Arabidopsis thaliana: one gene and its partners. The protein of the gene in region 1 binds, or shares a complex with, the protein of each later gene. Each region holds a gene or a part of one and is shown in the gene's direction. Other genes may lie near its edges.

Region 1 (3,834 bases):
TATTATTGATCCAAAATTAACATATTTGAAATTAAACTCAATCCAGCTTTGTTATATTCAAATTTCCTTAGTTCTACCGAGTTCAATAGATCTTAGCATTCGTTTATCTTCTTCATATGACCCCCATGGAATTATGAAATTTAGTTATTTTTTTGCTACAGTTTTTAAATTAACACCAATGAAATACATAAATTGACCCCTATGATCATTCCTTTATACATTTTGACCCCTAGAGCTGCAAGTTCTAGTTCCGCCACTGCCTATTTCTCTGTAGATTTCTGTAAAAATTGAAGTAACCACACAACAACCAAAATTCAACATATTTGAAACACACAAAAATATAAAATATTATTGATCATATCCAAAAAAGAAAAAGAAAAATAGACGATGATCAAAAACTCCAAAAAACAAAAATAACGCCAAAAGGAAATCGGAAAAATTCTCCTTCGGACCGAAACTATAACGATCCTCTAAACCCCTCCAATAAAAAAACACCAAGTCCTTACTTAAGATCTCTAAGTAATTAAAAGTTTACCTATAGAGAGTTATAATTAATTACATACTTATTATATTACTAATCCTGAAACCCAATCTTCTCCCAAATCGCGTTCCTCAATCGCCTTAGATCTCTTCCTTTCGCCGTCCCACCGATTCCTTCGTGCACCGTGAACGACGATCCTCTCCGTCTTGCCAAATACTCGTGCGGCGGAATCATCCGTCTCCCACCGTCGTTGCTATCGTCATCATCCTCGTCATCGTCGTCACTGTCATCGTCAGGTATCGCATGACCTCTATACTCACTCTTCAAGATCTTAGACCAATCGGGGATATTAACCGGAAGCGAACCGGTCTTTGTAATCTCCCGGTTACCTGAATCTCCGGTTTTCGTCGGTTTTCTCCGTAACCGAGAGATTGATATCGATCTTTTCGCGTCGAATGAATTCGGCAATTGATGATCGCCTAAGTTATGAATATCAGATTCGTCGAATTCAAAGACATTCTCATCGGACATCTCTGGTTTTGGTTCTGGATAGATATATTTAGGTTTGACAAAAAAAAGCTTCCTTGACGCCATTGATGAAAAACAGAGCGTGTAAAGAAGAATAAAAGAAAGATGATGTTTTTATGAAAACTGGATTCTGGGTTTTGATCAGCTTGTAGAAAAAATCTGAGAGGGTTTTTGTGAAATTTGAGATTGAAGGAGAAATGTGTTGAGATGATCATTTTTATAGAGAAATGTAGTAAAGAGATAAGCTCTCTCATTGGGTTAAACTTATGTGAGTTTATGACTTACACAGTAAACGACAAAAGTACAAAAGAAGATAAAAAAAAAAGTTTATAAGGTGTGGCAAGTCTCACGTTCTTATCGTGAGCTCTCTTTTTTTGTTTCACTCGTCCTTTGTTTTTCTTTTTCTTAAATAGTAAAAACTTTATGAGTTTATGATCAAAATGATGATGTTAATGGAATTTTTATCTTCGTCTTTGATTTAATTTAAGTTATCTTAAGATTTAATGTTGTTAGATATGATTTTTTTAGCTGTTTTAATTTTTTTTTGTTATTAAAATATTTGTTAATTTCTATTTAAATTGACAAAAAAATCTAGAATACACAAAAAATATATTTATTTATTATAAAGTAAAAATATTTACTATTTTTTAAATGTAAAAACGTAAGAATAACATCATTAGTGGGGTGATTAATCACATCCAAACAGCAGAAATCGAATTAAACTGAAAAGCCATTGTTTTAATTAAACCGAAACTAAACCAAAAGAAACCAGACTTATACGAACCGTCCGAACACGTAACCGAAAATTTACGAGAAAATCAAAACTCGTTTCGTCATTATTGACCTCTTGCTCTACGCCGTCTTCTCCAAAGCAAAATCAAAAGCTTCTTCGATCTTATTCTCGTCTGGTTATAATTTCCGATTCTGCATTCCCAATAGGTTCGTGTTTTTGTTAACCCTAATTTCTCTTTGTACCATGGTTGCAAATTTTATCCAGAATCGTTGGAGTAAAGTCTTAGATTTTGGATTGAATCGTTTGTTGCATCGATTAGAAACCTTAATTTTAGGAATCTGTTACTGATTTTGCTTAGTTTTTTATTTGGATCTGTAGGGAATAATGGCTACAGCTACGTATCCGCCTCCTCCACCATATTACAGACTCTACAAGGATTACTCAGAAAACCCTAATTCTGCTCCTGAACCTCCTCCTCCGATTGAAGGCACCTACGTCTGTTTTGGAGGCAACTATACTGTGAGTCTCCTCCACATTTCCCCCTCTTTAAAATCTTCATCTTTATGTGTTTTAGTAGTTTTCATTTTTTTTGGTTCGTAGACTGAAGATGTTCTTCCAAGCTTAGAAGAACAAGGAGTGCCTCAACTTTATCCCAAAGATTCTAATCTTGGTATGTCATTGTTTTAGCTTTGTGAATCAAACTCAAAACCCAATTGTTATTTGCTTTCTAGAGTACGGTTTTTGGTTCTTCCCTTAATTGGAATCAAACTTATTACATGAGTTCATTTGCCTCTTTGTTTCGTTGAAGAAAGTTTCAAATATCTTTGTGTGTAGATTACAAGAATGAACTCAGGTCACTGAATAGAGAACTACAGTTACATATATTGGAGCTTGCTGATGTTCTTGTTGACAGACCTTCTCAATATGCGAAGAGGATTGGTGAAATTTCTTCTATCTTCAAGAATTTGCATCACCTTCTCAATTCCTTGAGGCCTCACCAAGTAAAGAAGATCTCATCTTCGCTTAACTACAACATGATTTCATCAGTTTTTGTTTTCACTGTTTTGATCATCTTCTCTTATGTCCAGGCGAGAGCAACGCTTATTCACATTATGGAACTTCAAATTCAACAGAGGAAACAAGCTGTGGAAGACATTAAAAGGTGTGCATATTTTGTTTGTATACTGTACTTAATGGTGTGCTTATATCAATCCATCATCTGTTCAAAGATTTTTCAGAAACTTTGTTGGTAGTTCTTATGGGTCCGTTTGATGTTTTTGGTTGTGCGCAGAAGAAGAGAAGAAGCACAGCGACTTCTAAAGGATGCTTACCTCACTTTAGATGGTCAATAGAGTCTTTTTTTGTGTGTGTAAATTAGCAATTAATAATCTGTCTGTTATTGTTATTGACCTTCGAAGCTTATTATAATTTGTTAACACTAAAACAAAGTTAATTTGACAATCAACTAAGACTGAATAGTATGAGGATTGTATTAATTAGACCATAATTAACCGGGTTTTCTTTTGAAGGAAAAGAGAAAGAATAAACCGGTGATACAACCGAAACGGAACTATGATATATCGAACATACATTTGATGTGAATGGATCTGTCAATATCTCGAATAAAGAATTTGATTTAAGCAGTTGATTGACACCTGAACCGATGTTTTAGAAACTCATAGAAATACAAATTAAAAATAAATGTTCAGTTTATCCAATTGCAATTAGCCAGTTTCATTTCTTTTAGTTTTATCCAATCTAAAAACTCATTGCAGTTAATTTCAATAATATGACTCTATTGTGTATGAGGATTACTAGTGGGATTGTCCACAGAGGAACATGGCCCAACTCTGTGCACACATTATTGGATAGTCCAAAGATGAATGACACGTCGGATTATTACACCTCTATTCAGTAAACAAAATTGACACGTCCGATTACTTCACGTGGACTAAATAGGGACATGCCTTGTTCACTTACTTAAATAGTTTCTATCAAAATAAATAGCAAATTGTGGAATCATTTTTTGTTTCCACAATGACTCATTTTCTTTATCAATCTTGTATTTTTGTCAACCATATATCAAGATAAA
Region 2 (5,976 bases), 750 kb from region 1:
TATTTTCTTTATCTTCCGCAGTTCGAATAGTTTTCTTTGCTTCTGTATTAACTTTCTCGACGCTTTCTTAGAATCATTAGAGTAGCAGAAGAAGCTAATAATAATGCCTACTCGTTGAAGATAAACTTTAATCATCATTCATAAGCTTAAAGTTCTAGAACAAGTATGACACAATGATTCAAATAAATATATGCATATTGAATAATTTGAGCCTAAAAAATTCTAATTTTTCTTTCCAACTCCAGTCTAATTTTTTTTTGTCGACTTCTAGCAAAATACATTAGGTGTTATATCTATAATTGGTTATTCAGATAATAAAAAAATTGTAATGAGACCGTCCGTGGTAGATGGATTTCTTATCTCTTGTATACAAAACACGCACCATTTTCTTCAAGTAGGTCCACTAAAACACCGTAAAGCAGCCACTATATCTGCTGACGTGTCGGCCAATCAAAGTCTGTCACGTAAACGTGGCTGTGACAAGCCCGTGAGGTTAGCACTCAAAGGAGTCCCAGTGTTTTTCACGCGTTTGAAGGTGAGTAAATTCTGATTGGTAATCACCACCGTCCCAAATCGTACGACTTCGTTTTGTCACGTATTAACATAAAATCAAATTATAATATTTTTAGGGGTCGATTTTGTTGACCAACATTTAATACATGCTTCTCATTCCACAAACAGAAACTTCCTTTTCTTCTTCTATTTTCTGTTGTTGCTCTAACAAATCAAGCTAAGTTTAATAGTCCAACTTATTTTATAACTTTGTAAACACAAAACAAAGTTCTTACTTTGAATTAAAACAGTTATGATTGTGGTATCATTTTGGAACATGTAAACATAAACGAAAATGCAAATACAAAGAAAAACAGTTGATTTTTTTTTTTTTCAACAACAACAAAAATAAGACAATGTATGATGATTGATGACATGATGCTATCATGCTATGTCTTTTTTTGGTAAATTCTCTAAAATAAATATGATCTAAGTTAAGGTTTGGTTGGATTGTACCGGAACATTATGAGTATAAGTGAAGAGTTGTAACTTTTATTTACAATTGATAAATTGTAAATAAACTACATATCTAAGACCATCTCTATTGGGAGTATCTCATAAGAGTTTCTCACAATTAAAAAAATAAAAATAATGAAAATGAAGGAGAGAGAGTGTAGAAAGTTTCTCACTTGAGAAACTCTGAGATAGTCTCTACAACCCATCATGACAATTATCATCTTACTATTGGTTTAATTTTTTAACAAAAATATTTTTTTAATCAAATAATCAAATTATAATATAATATTAATATTTTTTTTGTTTGAAAAACTTTGTGGGTTTTTCATGGATGGAGATGCCCTAATGGCCTTAACAAGTATGGGTTATGAAAAAATAGTCGATGAATTAATGAAAAAGCTGTGAGGGTAACGAGGTTAAAACATTGTGAGTCATTTTGTACCTAATCCAAAGTACAAAGGGATACAAAAAAAATAAAACAACTTTTTTGTTAGATATTTTTAAAACATTGTAAACAAAGAAATACTTGTTTCTCTGTCTTACAAATCTGAACAAATTAAAGTACCTAATCCAATTTCTTATAAAACAAAATAAAATGAAATGATAGTGTTAACTGTTAAAACATGAAACTATTGTTTTGAATCGGATTTACCAAATATTCTAATATATCACTCTTTGACTAGAAGATAAACGCTTTTGATCAGCAGCATTAGGAAATAAATATCTCTTCTTCAGAGCTTCTCATTAAAGTCCGTATAACTAACTAAACACTCTTAGTAGAATTTACTTTTGACATTTTCCAACGTAAAAAAGATTTATGACCCAAAAAAAAAAAAAAGAGTTTGACCTTGTAATCACTTAACTTGTGTCGTCGTTCAAGTACAACGCATGTGTGAGGAAAAAAAGAATAATGTGTTTTTATAATAATAATGAAAAGCCAAAACAGACCGATCAGGTCAAAAGAAAGCCGTAAAGAAAATCCAACTTAAAATAAAAATAAAATCTCTTTTACCAAACAGATATACAGAGAGACTTCAATCAGAGGAAATAAATAAATTTCATTATTTCTCTTTCTGAATTAATAAAAAGGTTTCTTGTTGAATTGAATTTGTAGCTGTGTTTAACGTAGTAGCACTTGGGTTTTAGATAGACAACGTAACCAAAACTGTTTCATGTTCTGTCTGTATTCTCTCTTTTGCTTTTTTGGGTTTCCTCCTTCTTTCTCATCTTTGCTGCGGTGCATTTTTTTCTCGGGAAAATCCTTTCTGGGCTTTCCGGGAAAGTTTTCTTGTCAGATTCGGAAAGGTACCAAAAAAAATAAATTAATAAAAACTTACCAAACAGATTTTGTGTTTATCTCTCTCTCTATAGATTCTTTTGATCACAAATCCTTTTCGTTTTTGATCATATTTTGATTGAGAACAAAACAATCTTCAAAGTCTCAACCTTTAAGTTTGATTGATCTTTTTTTGGTAAGTAAATCTTCTGTCGTAGATTCGATATTTTCTGATCTTCTCTTTTCGAATTCTTCAATCTTCAACGATCCCAATCTTCTTCTTCTGGAAATCTATTTTGCTTCTTCTTCAAATTTTCTGGGGAAAAAATCAAATTCTTGAGTTAATTAGACTCCGATTTTGTTGAATCGAGAAACGATGAAAGCATCGGGTTCATTAGATAGCTGGAGAGAATATTTCCGACGGCGAGGAGATTCCGATATATTCGGGATCATCGATCATGCGATCATGGTGGCTGCTACTGATTGTCCTAACAAATTCAAATCCAGAAGAGACAAAATCGCCGAGCTTTTATTCTCCTGTAGAGTGAATCGTTGCGTCGGATGCGACCATCTTGAATTGTCTGTTCCCGGAGACGACGAGGCTAACCGTGGAACCACCGGAAATGGTGGTGGTGGTACGGCGGTTGATGAAGATTATGAGGTTGCTGGTGGTAGTAAAGAGAGCAAAGCTAATAGTAGCAGAGGGGATAATAATCAGATTGTTAGCAATTATACATTTGATGAAGCTGAGGCTTTGAGTGATGAGATTGAAGAGTTTTCTGTGGTTTCTAAGGAGGTTGCTAGGATCAAAGAGATCTTGCTCAACAAAGAAGATGAGGTTTGATTCTCAAGTTCTTGAAATTTCATCAATGTGAAGATTTTTTTTTTGTGTTTTCTGATTGGTTCTTTTTTGTATTCTCTTGCAGCCAAACTCGGTGTTACTCGATTCTTTAAGACATCTTAAGTTGATGTCTTTGAATGTGGATATTCTTAAGGTTGGTTATCTTGGTGGATAGTGTATGAAGTTGTTGTTGATGATCCTTGAGATTCTTAAGGTTTGCGGTTATTCTCGCAGAGTACTGAGATTGGAAAGGCTGTTAATGGCCTCAGGAAACATTCTTCTGATAAGATTCGACAACTCGCTAAGACTCTTATCGCGTATGAGTTTTTGATCTTTCACAAGTTTGATTGACATTTGCTATGCTTTTGCACTTTTGAATCTCACATTTGAGTTTTTGATATGTTTATGCAGAGAATGGAAGGAGTTGGTGGATCAATGGGTGAATACCACAAAGGAAATCACTGGTAATTGCGCTTTCTCTGTCTCGCTTTTCGATCTTTTATGACTGGCTTCGTGTCTTACCGTTTGGTTTCTTGAATTAGATCCATAGTCTTTGGTTCTAATTTTGTGTTTAAAACAGGTGCTGAAGGTACACCAGAGTCTGCAAACCCGTCTGTCCTTGATGAAGAAGAGGCGTTTCCATCGCTTCCATATGATGTTGATATCTTTACACCTGAACCAAACGGATTTGAAATCTCACACTTCTTTGATTCCTTGGACTTTGATGGAAGTGAGTTTTAAAACTATGTCTTGTTTGTTTGAGAACATGTTCTTAGCTACGTGTTGATTGATTTTCTTGGGGATGTTTGTTTCAGATCCTCGTAACTCTGAAGAACACAACACAAGCCGAGAGCATGAAAGAAGGCCACAAAATATCGCCAAGAGAAAACCTGAGGGAACACAAATGAGGATACAAGATGCTCCTTTTAGATCTATTAAGCCATCATCAGCTACTGATTTTGATGGGACTAGAAGACCTGTAAAGCAAAGTACAGAGCAAAGGATGAAGAACGAAACGGTATCTGTTCACAAGTCTGAAAAACCCATGATCCAAAGGAAACCGGTTGTTACAGAACAGAAGCGGAAAGCTCCTGGACCTCAACAAGAAGTGAGTGTGGAGACAAAGCTCTTGTCTAATATCCTATTCTTGGACGTAGAATTGATGGTGTTTTTGCTCTTGTCCCTTGCAGAAACTTAAAGGTCTTGATGCAGACGCAAAGTTTGAGTTTGCAAAGAGGAAACTTCAAGAAAGCTACCAGCATCACGAGAATGGTTCGTTTCATTTCCTTTCTTTTGTTTCGAGTTTTTTGTTACATTCTTGAAAACAAAAGAACTTAAAAATGTTTGTGATCTTGCCACAGCCAAGAAGCAGCGAACGATACAAGTACTTGAGATGATCCCAAAGCAAGGTAGTGCTCAGAAACCGCAACTCAAGAGACCTGGAATGAGCAACAGGAATTGGGCTAATGGGAGAAAATAGTTTCTGCTTTGTTCAAATGGTGAATAATTCTCGGCAAAAGATATTACTCCATACTTACCACACATATCTCGCAATCTCTGGTGCAATAAAGGTAAACAGAGTCTAGTTCCACAAAGCTGGAGACAGAAACAAGCAGAGGAGAAGGAACAGAATCCAACATAACTTTACTTTGAACAAACTGTTTACTCCTCTGTTTTGTTCTGTCTTGGATTCACCAATTGCAGCAAGATAGGGATACCAATTATTGTTTCTTTTATGTGTTCTTTACTACATTCTTGAGACTTTCGGTACAGTCCCGGTTTAGTCGGGTTATGTTCGGTTTTGGGACAAGGAGAGAGGTCCCTTTTACATATATATCATATAAAAATAGTAAAAGAGAGGGTAGAAAAGCTCATTCGAAATTGACCGGCTCTTCACCTAACTTTGTATAGTAATGTGAAATGATTTGGGACACAATATAGAGATGATGACACTTTTTTCCAAATAAATAAATATTTATATAATGATATCCAATTGTTATGAATGAATGTGATTGTGACCGAATGTTGTCATTTCTTATTACTTATGTATATAAAATAAGATGGCATTGGAAAGGCTTAAGGAAGGTGGGTGGATAAGAAAAGAGGAGAAGGTAGTGGGGGGTGGGAGATAACGTGGATGGATAGGAATGTTGTTGCAGTGTGGTCTTTGTGCGTGTTGGTATTTTTTATTCAATGTTGTTATTATCTCGGCGTTACGCGTTCACGCATTTCACCACATGAACCACGTGGACTTCTACAACTTCTATTAATCTTTCACTCCATTTCTATTGAAAGAAAAACAGTTGGATAGAGATAAATCTAGTTTTATGGTCACGATTTTATTTCGTGAAAAGGAAAATGCACTTTTTAGTTTGATTAAATAAGTACACCCAAACACTTTTGGACAAAAACAAACGTAATGATTTTTGGCGTGATGGTAAATTCGTATGGATGTGTTGGTTATTTTTGTAAACTTTAGCATGTGAGAGAAAAAAAAAGTTGAGCATGTGAAAATACAAAAAATATTGTTGTCTGTGTACAAAAACTGAAATGACATTTAACATTTAGTAAGTTTCAAAATTTAAAACATTAACTCATAATCTCAAAACTTTAAACTAAACAAAAAACTGCAATTCCAAAAGCTCTAGAACTTAAATCTTACTATTGATGCAGCGAAATGTCTTTAGTTTTTTTTTTTTTAACAAAATTATGAGATCTTTTTTTGTTGTTGGAAATATCACTACAAAATGTCTAATTCATACTATTTTAAGAATATAAAAAATCTCATTTATAATCAATATGCAATGAATAAATTGACCTATATCCATTACATACTTTGTTAGATTACACT
Region 3 (4,722 bases), on another chromosome or scaffold:
AAGGAAGATGAGGCAAAACAACCTTCACATAGGGAGATTTTTAAATTGAACAACTAGCTCAAGTAAACTTATAAGTAATGTTGTAAACATGGAATGAATAAGTTTGAAATTTGGTGCATTCTTAGATATGAGAAGGTGGTTAAAAGGGTATGGTGCAAAGACATATCCATCCCTAGTATTTAATAGATTGAAAGAAGGAATTTTTTTTTGGTTCTAGTTTAATGAGTGAAAATGAAAAAATAAATAAAAAGGCAAATGAAGATGAAGATGAACTCAAACTTTTGACTCTCTAATGTAATCTTATAAGCAAATAACCAACTTTTCTACTGAAAGTTATAAGAAAATGAGGCAAAAGTTTTATTTATATTAGGGAATTTAATGAAAAAAACCCTCAACTTTGGCCAGATCCATTTTTAAACCCTAAACTATGTTTTTAGTAAAACAAACCCTGAACTAAAACCTGTTAATAAACTTAACCCCACAGTAATTAAACAACGTTTAGGGTTAAGTTTATTAACAGGTTTTAGTTCAGGGTTTGTTTTACTAAAAACATAGTTTAGGGTTTAAAAATGGATCTGGCCAAAGTTGAGGTTTTTTTTCATTAAATTCCCTTTATATTAATTGAAGCCGCAAGCATGAGCTTGACCCGTTTGTGCTCATGGATGGCTCTGCTTGTATCTAGTTAGAAGCCGAAACAACTAGTTTTCAGTACGCTATGCATGTAACTCAAAGAATTTGGTGTAAGCAATAAGTGATTCTCATTCTTGGTCGTGCTACATTGAGGGAGATACAACAACCATGGGAAACACTTATGCCTAAGCCTAACTTTTGATTTGGGAGGAGGCAAATGAACTAATGCCTAAGCCTAATATTTTGCACAACTCTACTCGCGTGGCACCTCTTATCATCTTCAAATTGGTGGATCGTGAGCTTCGCAACCTAATCACTTCTCGACGACATCGCAAGCGTTGGCAGCGGCTAATGCTTTTATGGATTCGTTAAACACACCTAAATCTTTTCTAATTCTATTGTAGCCTTGTTTTTATTTTTTTTGCCTTGGTTACTTTTCTATAGGTTGTACGTTCTTGTATTTTCTGAACTCTCATTGTAATGATATTAACAAATTTAGCAAAAAAAAAAAAAAACTAATGTCAAACAAGGATCCTCAAATGCCAAATGTCAAATTAAGTTAGTACCTTTCCATGTTTACAAATTTGAATTTGAAGATGGTAAATTAGAAGAAAAAATGAAATTATGATCATTTTCCTTAATCAAAAGATTCAAAACTATCATTTAAAATTTACTTCTTCATTTTTTGCTCTTAAAAGAAAAAGTAAAAAATTACAAAAAGAGGGGAAAAAAATTTAGAGAGAAAGTGACCAGACACGACGGCGTTTTTGCATCACTTTCACCGAGATTTTTTTTCTGCATCCCGGCGACGAGACTGTGACTCCACCAAACCCTAAAATCAAAATTGCATTTTTTGTTCGATTTTGATTTTGTGGGGATTTTGGAATTTTCCCCGCACTAAGTCGTCTCGTTAACCCCACTTAACAGTTTCTCACTTTGACACTTTCTCTCTCTCTCAACGCACAGTGCTTTCTGTCGCCTTCAATCGCGACTTTTTGTCACACTTGCCCTCTTTTCTCCGATTTTTCTATAAATTTAGGGTTTTGTTTGCTTTCGTTGACATGAATCAGCAAAACCCAGAAGAAGAAGTTTCTTTGGTTAATAATAGCGGTGGTGGAGGAATCATCGAAGCTCCAGCTATAGTGGAGGAGAAAGAGGAAGAAGGATTACAGCAGAAGCAGGAAGAGACTATTGAGTCTACCGATCCGATTCTCGTCGTCGTTGAGGAGAAATTGTTAGAGAAATCAGTAGACGGAGAGAAAGAAGACGATAATAGTAGTAGTAGTAACATGGAGATTGATCCTGTGAGTCCGGCTACAGTTTTCTGTGTTAAGCTTAAGCAGCCCAATTCCAATTTGCTTCATAAGATGAGTGTTCCTGAATTGTGCCGTAACTTCAGGTTTGACTCTCTCTCCCATCGGAAAATCTTTAAATTTCATCAATTCCTGTAAAGTTTTCTCCTTTTCTTTGTGTTAGTGCTGTTGCGTGGTGTGGCAAATTGAATGCTATTGCTTGTGCTTCCGAGACCTGTGCCAGGATTCCAAGGTATGGTTTTTGTTACTTTTCTATGTCTTGAATGTATGGGCAGTGATGAATTTCTCAATTTTCATCTTTCTCTGTTCTCATCTCTTGCAGCTCCAAGGCAAATACACCTTTTTGGATACCAATACATATCTTGATACCTGAGCGCCCTACTGAGTGTGCGGTGTTTAATGTTGTGGCAGGTATTTTGATATCAGTTAATTATTTATGAACTCGGTTGATCTAGTGGGTGATAAACGATTATGATGCAATTTTTTATATGTAGACTCTCCTCGTGATTCTGTCCAATTTATCGAATGGTCTCCCACTTCTTGTCCTCGTGCGTTACTCATTGCTAATTTTCATGGACGTATAACTATCTGGACGCAGCCTACTCAGGTTTGTGCTCCTGATCACTGGGATTTACCTTTATATTTCTTCTTTGTCTTCTGTGTCAAGATGTTTTATGACACCCTCAGATGATTTTTTTTTTGTGGATTGGTTTTGCAGGGTTCGGCTAATTTAGTGCACGACGCTACCTCCTGGCAGTGTGAGCATGAATGGCGTCAGGACATTGCTGTTGTTACAAAGTGGCTGACAGGGGCTTCCCCAGTATGTAATCTTATGTTTTGCTTATTTGCCATTCTATCAAATGCACAGCATATTTGTCCCTTAATGAGTTCGTTAAATTAGTAATGGAGGGCTTGCATGTGAGAGTGGGCACTGGGATTACTAAATCGTGAGTAATTGAACTGGAAATGTCTCTACGTTTTGGAGGAAATGAGATGGAGAAAACACAACGTCCTGGAAATCCCAACTCTCTGTTTGCAAAATTACTAGACTCCTAAAAGATCTTCCAATTTGCGTTTCTTAGATGCATTTCTTTAATGATCGGCATGAACACATAAGGAAATGAGTAACAGATAGATAATAATGCCATTGCAAAGAACATGTTCTGAAGGACTTAATATCATGTTGTTTCTGGCCACCTAGTTTGCTGCTCTAGTTTTATCCTAGGAAATTTATCCTCTATGTTTTCTTTTTATTGATAATCAGTATAGGTGGTTGTCCTCCAAGCCAAGTTCTGGTACAAATGCAAAGTCAACTTTCGAGGAGAAATTTCTCTCGCAGAGCTCTGAAAGCTCAGGTTTTCTTCTGCGTGCCTCTTGTGACTCATTTTTTGATGATATATTCAGAATTATGCACTTAATTTTAATTATGTCAGTTCCTTTGACATCCAAATATATGTGACAAGATCAATACAACATGTTCTGACGTTAGTGCATTTTCCTCCACTTTATGTGACGGTTCTGATTCTCTACCATTTGTTGCAGCTCGGTGGCCCAACTTTCTCTGTGTATGCTCTGTTTTCTCATCCGGCTCTGTTCAAATTCATTGGTCCCAGTGGCCTTCTAACCAGGGAAGCACTGCACCAAAGTGGTTTAGTACAAAGAAAGGTCTTTTAGGTGCAGGGCCAAGTGGAATTATGGCTGCTGATGCTATTATAACAGACAGTGGTGCCATGCATGTAGCAGGAGTTCCAATTGTAAACCCTTCAACAATTGTAGTATGGGAGGTGACCCCTGGCCCTGGAAATGGACTCCAGGCGACTCCAAAAATCTCTACAGGCAGTCGTGTGCCACCATCCCTTAGTTCTTCTTCTTGGACAGGTTTTGCTCCTTTAGCTGCGTACTTGTTTAGCTGGCAAGAATACTTAATATCCGAGATAAAGCAAGGGAAGAAGCCCTCAGATCAAGATTCCAGTGATGCTATATCGCTAAGTTGCTCACCGGTTTCCAATTTTTCTGCTTATGTAAGTCCAGAGGCTGCAGCTCAGTCTGCAGCAACCACAACATGGGGATCTGGTGTTACCGCTGTTGCTTTTGATCCAACTCGTGGTGGTTCAGTGATAGCAGTTGTTATAGTTGAAGGTACTGTTCTCATCCTTCTCGGAACCTCATACTGTTTCCATGATTGAATAAACATTTTCAGGTTTACGTTTAGTTTTTGGTCAATCATTTAGAAATGCTCATATATTGAAGAGCTGCCAGATGAGAAAATGCTAATTTTGTTTGAGTGATGAAGCGCAACAGCTTCAATCTATTGTTTAAAATAAATGCTAATTGTTTGTGTCTGCAGGGCAGTACATGTCTCCGTATGATCCAGATGAAGGTCCTTCAATCACAGGCTGGAGAGTACAGCGCTGGGAATCAAGTGTTCAACCTGTTGTACTGCATCAGATATTTGGAAACCCAACTTCAAATTTTGGAGGACAGGTCCCCACGCAAACTGTCTGGGTATCCAGAGTGGATATGAGCATACCACCTACTAAAGATTTTAAGAATCATCAAGTAGCTGCAGCAGGACCAAGTGTGGATGCACCAAAGGAGCCTGATTCTGGTGATGAGAAGGCTAACAAGGTTGTATTTGATCCTTTTGATTTGCCAAGTGATATTCGGACACTTGCACGGATTGTCTATTCTGCTCATGGTGGTGAAATTGCGATTGCTTTTCTTCGTGGTGGAGTTCATATCTTTTCTGGTCCAACTTTTTCACCTGTTGAAAACTATC

The links. The genes of interacting proteins can lie anywhere in the genome.
Region 2: AT5G03220 (region 1) and AT5G05140 share a complex: the UniProt entries of both Arabidopsis thaliana proteins name them as parts of the mediator complex.
Region 3: AT5G03220 (region 1) and SFR6 share a complex: the UniProt entries of both Arabidopsis thaliana proteins name them as parts of the mediator complex.

Annotation. Positions count from the first base shown.
Region 1 is NC_003076.8:766,877-770,710, reverse strand, and holds AT5G03220 (Mediator complex, subunit Med7), read left to right. Parts: upstream 1-1,793; 5' UTR 1,794-1,948; intron 1,949-2,120; 5' UTR 2,121-2,126; coding exon 2,127-2,261; intron 2,262-2,342; coding exon 2,343-2,412; intron 2,413-2,576; coding exon 2,577-2,743; intron 2,744-2,830; coding exon 2,831-2,904; intron 2,905-3,033; coding exon 3,034-3,094; 3' UTR 3,095-3,276; downstream 3,277-3,834. Other genes in the region: AT5G03230 (senescence regulator (Protein of unknown function, DUF584)), read right to left, coding at 575-1,075. UniProt on the Arabidopsis thaliana protein: Component of the Mediator complex, a coactivator involved in the regulated transcription of nearly all RNA polymerase II-dependent genes.
Region 2 is NC_003076.8:1,517,693-1,523,668, forward strand, and holds AT5G05140 (Transcription elongation factor (TFIIS) family protein), read left to right. Parts: upstream 1-2,012; 5' UTR 2,013-2,660; coding exon 2,661-3,122; intron 3,123-3,210; coding exon 3,211-3,279; intron 3,280-3,359; coding exon 3,360-3,442; intron 3,443-3,536; coding exon 3,537-3,589; intron 3,590-3,705; coding exon 3,706-3,855; intron 3,856-3,940; coding exon 3,941-4,233; intron 4,234-4,315; coding exon 4,316-4,397; intron 4,398-4,486; coding exon 4,487-4,605; 3' UTR 4,606-5,445; downstream 5,446-5,976. UniProt on the Arabidopsis thaliana protein: Component of the Mediator complex, a coactivator involved in the regulated transcription of nearly all RNA polymerase II-dependent genes.
Region 3 is NC_003075.7:2,496,240-2,500,961, forward strand, and holds the start of SFR6 (sensitive to freezing 6), read left to right. Parts: upstream 1-1,691; coding exon 1,692-2,029; intron 2,030-2,106; coding exon 2,107-2,175; intron 2,176-2,265; coding exon 2,266-2,354; intron 2,355-2,437; coding exon 2,438-2,550; intron 2,551-2,661; coding exon 2,662-2,763; intron 2,764-3,207; coding exon 3,208-3,298; intron 3,299-3,485; coding exon 3,486-4,082; intron 4,083-4,290; coding exon 4,291-4,722. UniProt on the Arabidopsis thaliana protein: Component of the Mediator complex, a coactivator involved in the regulated transcription of nearly all RNA polymerase II-dependent genes.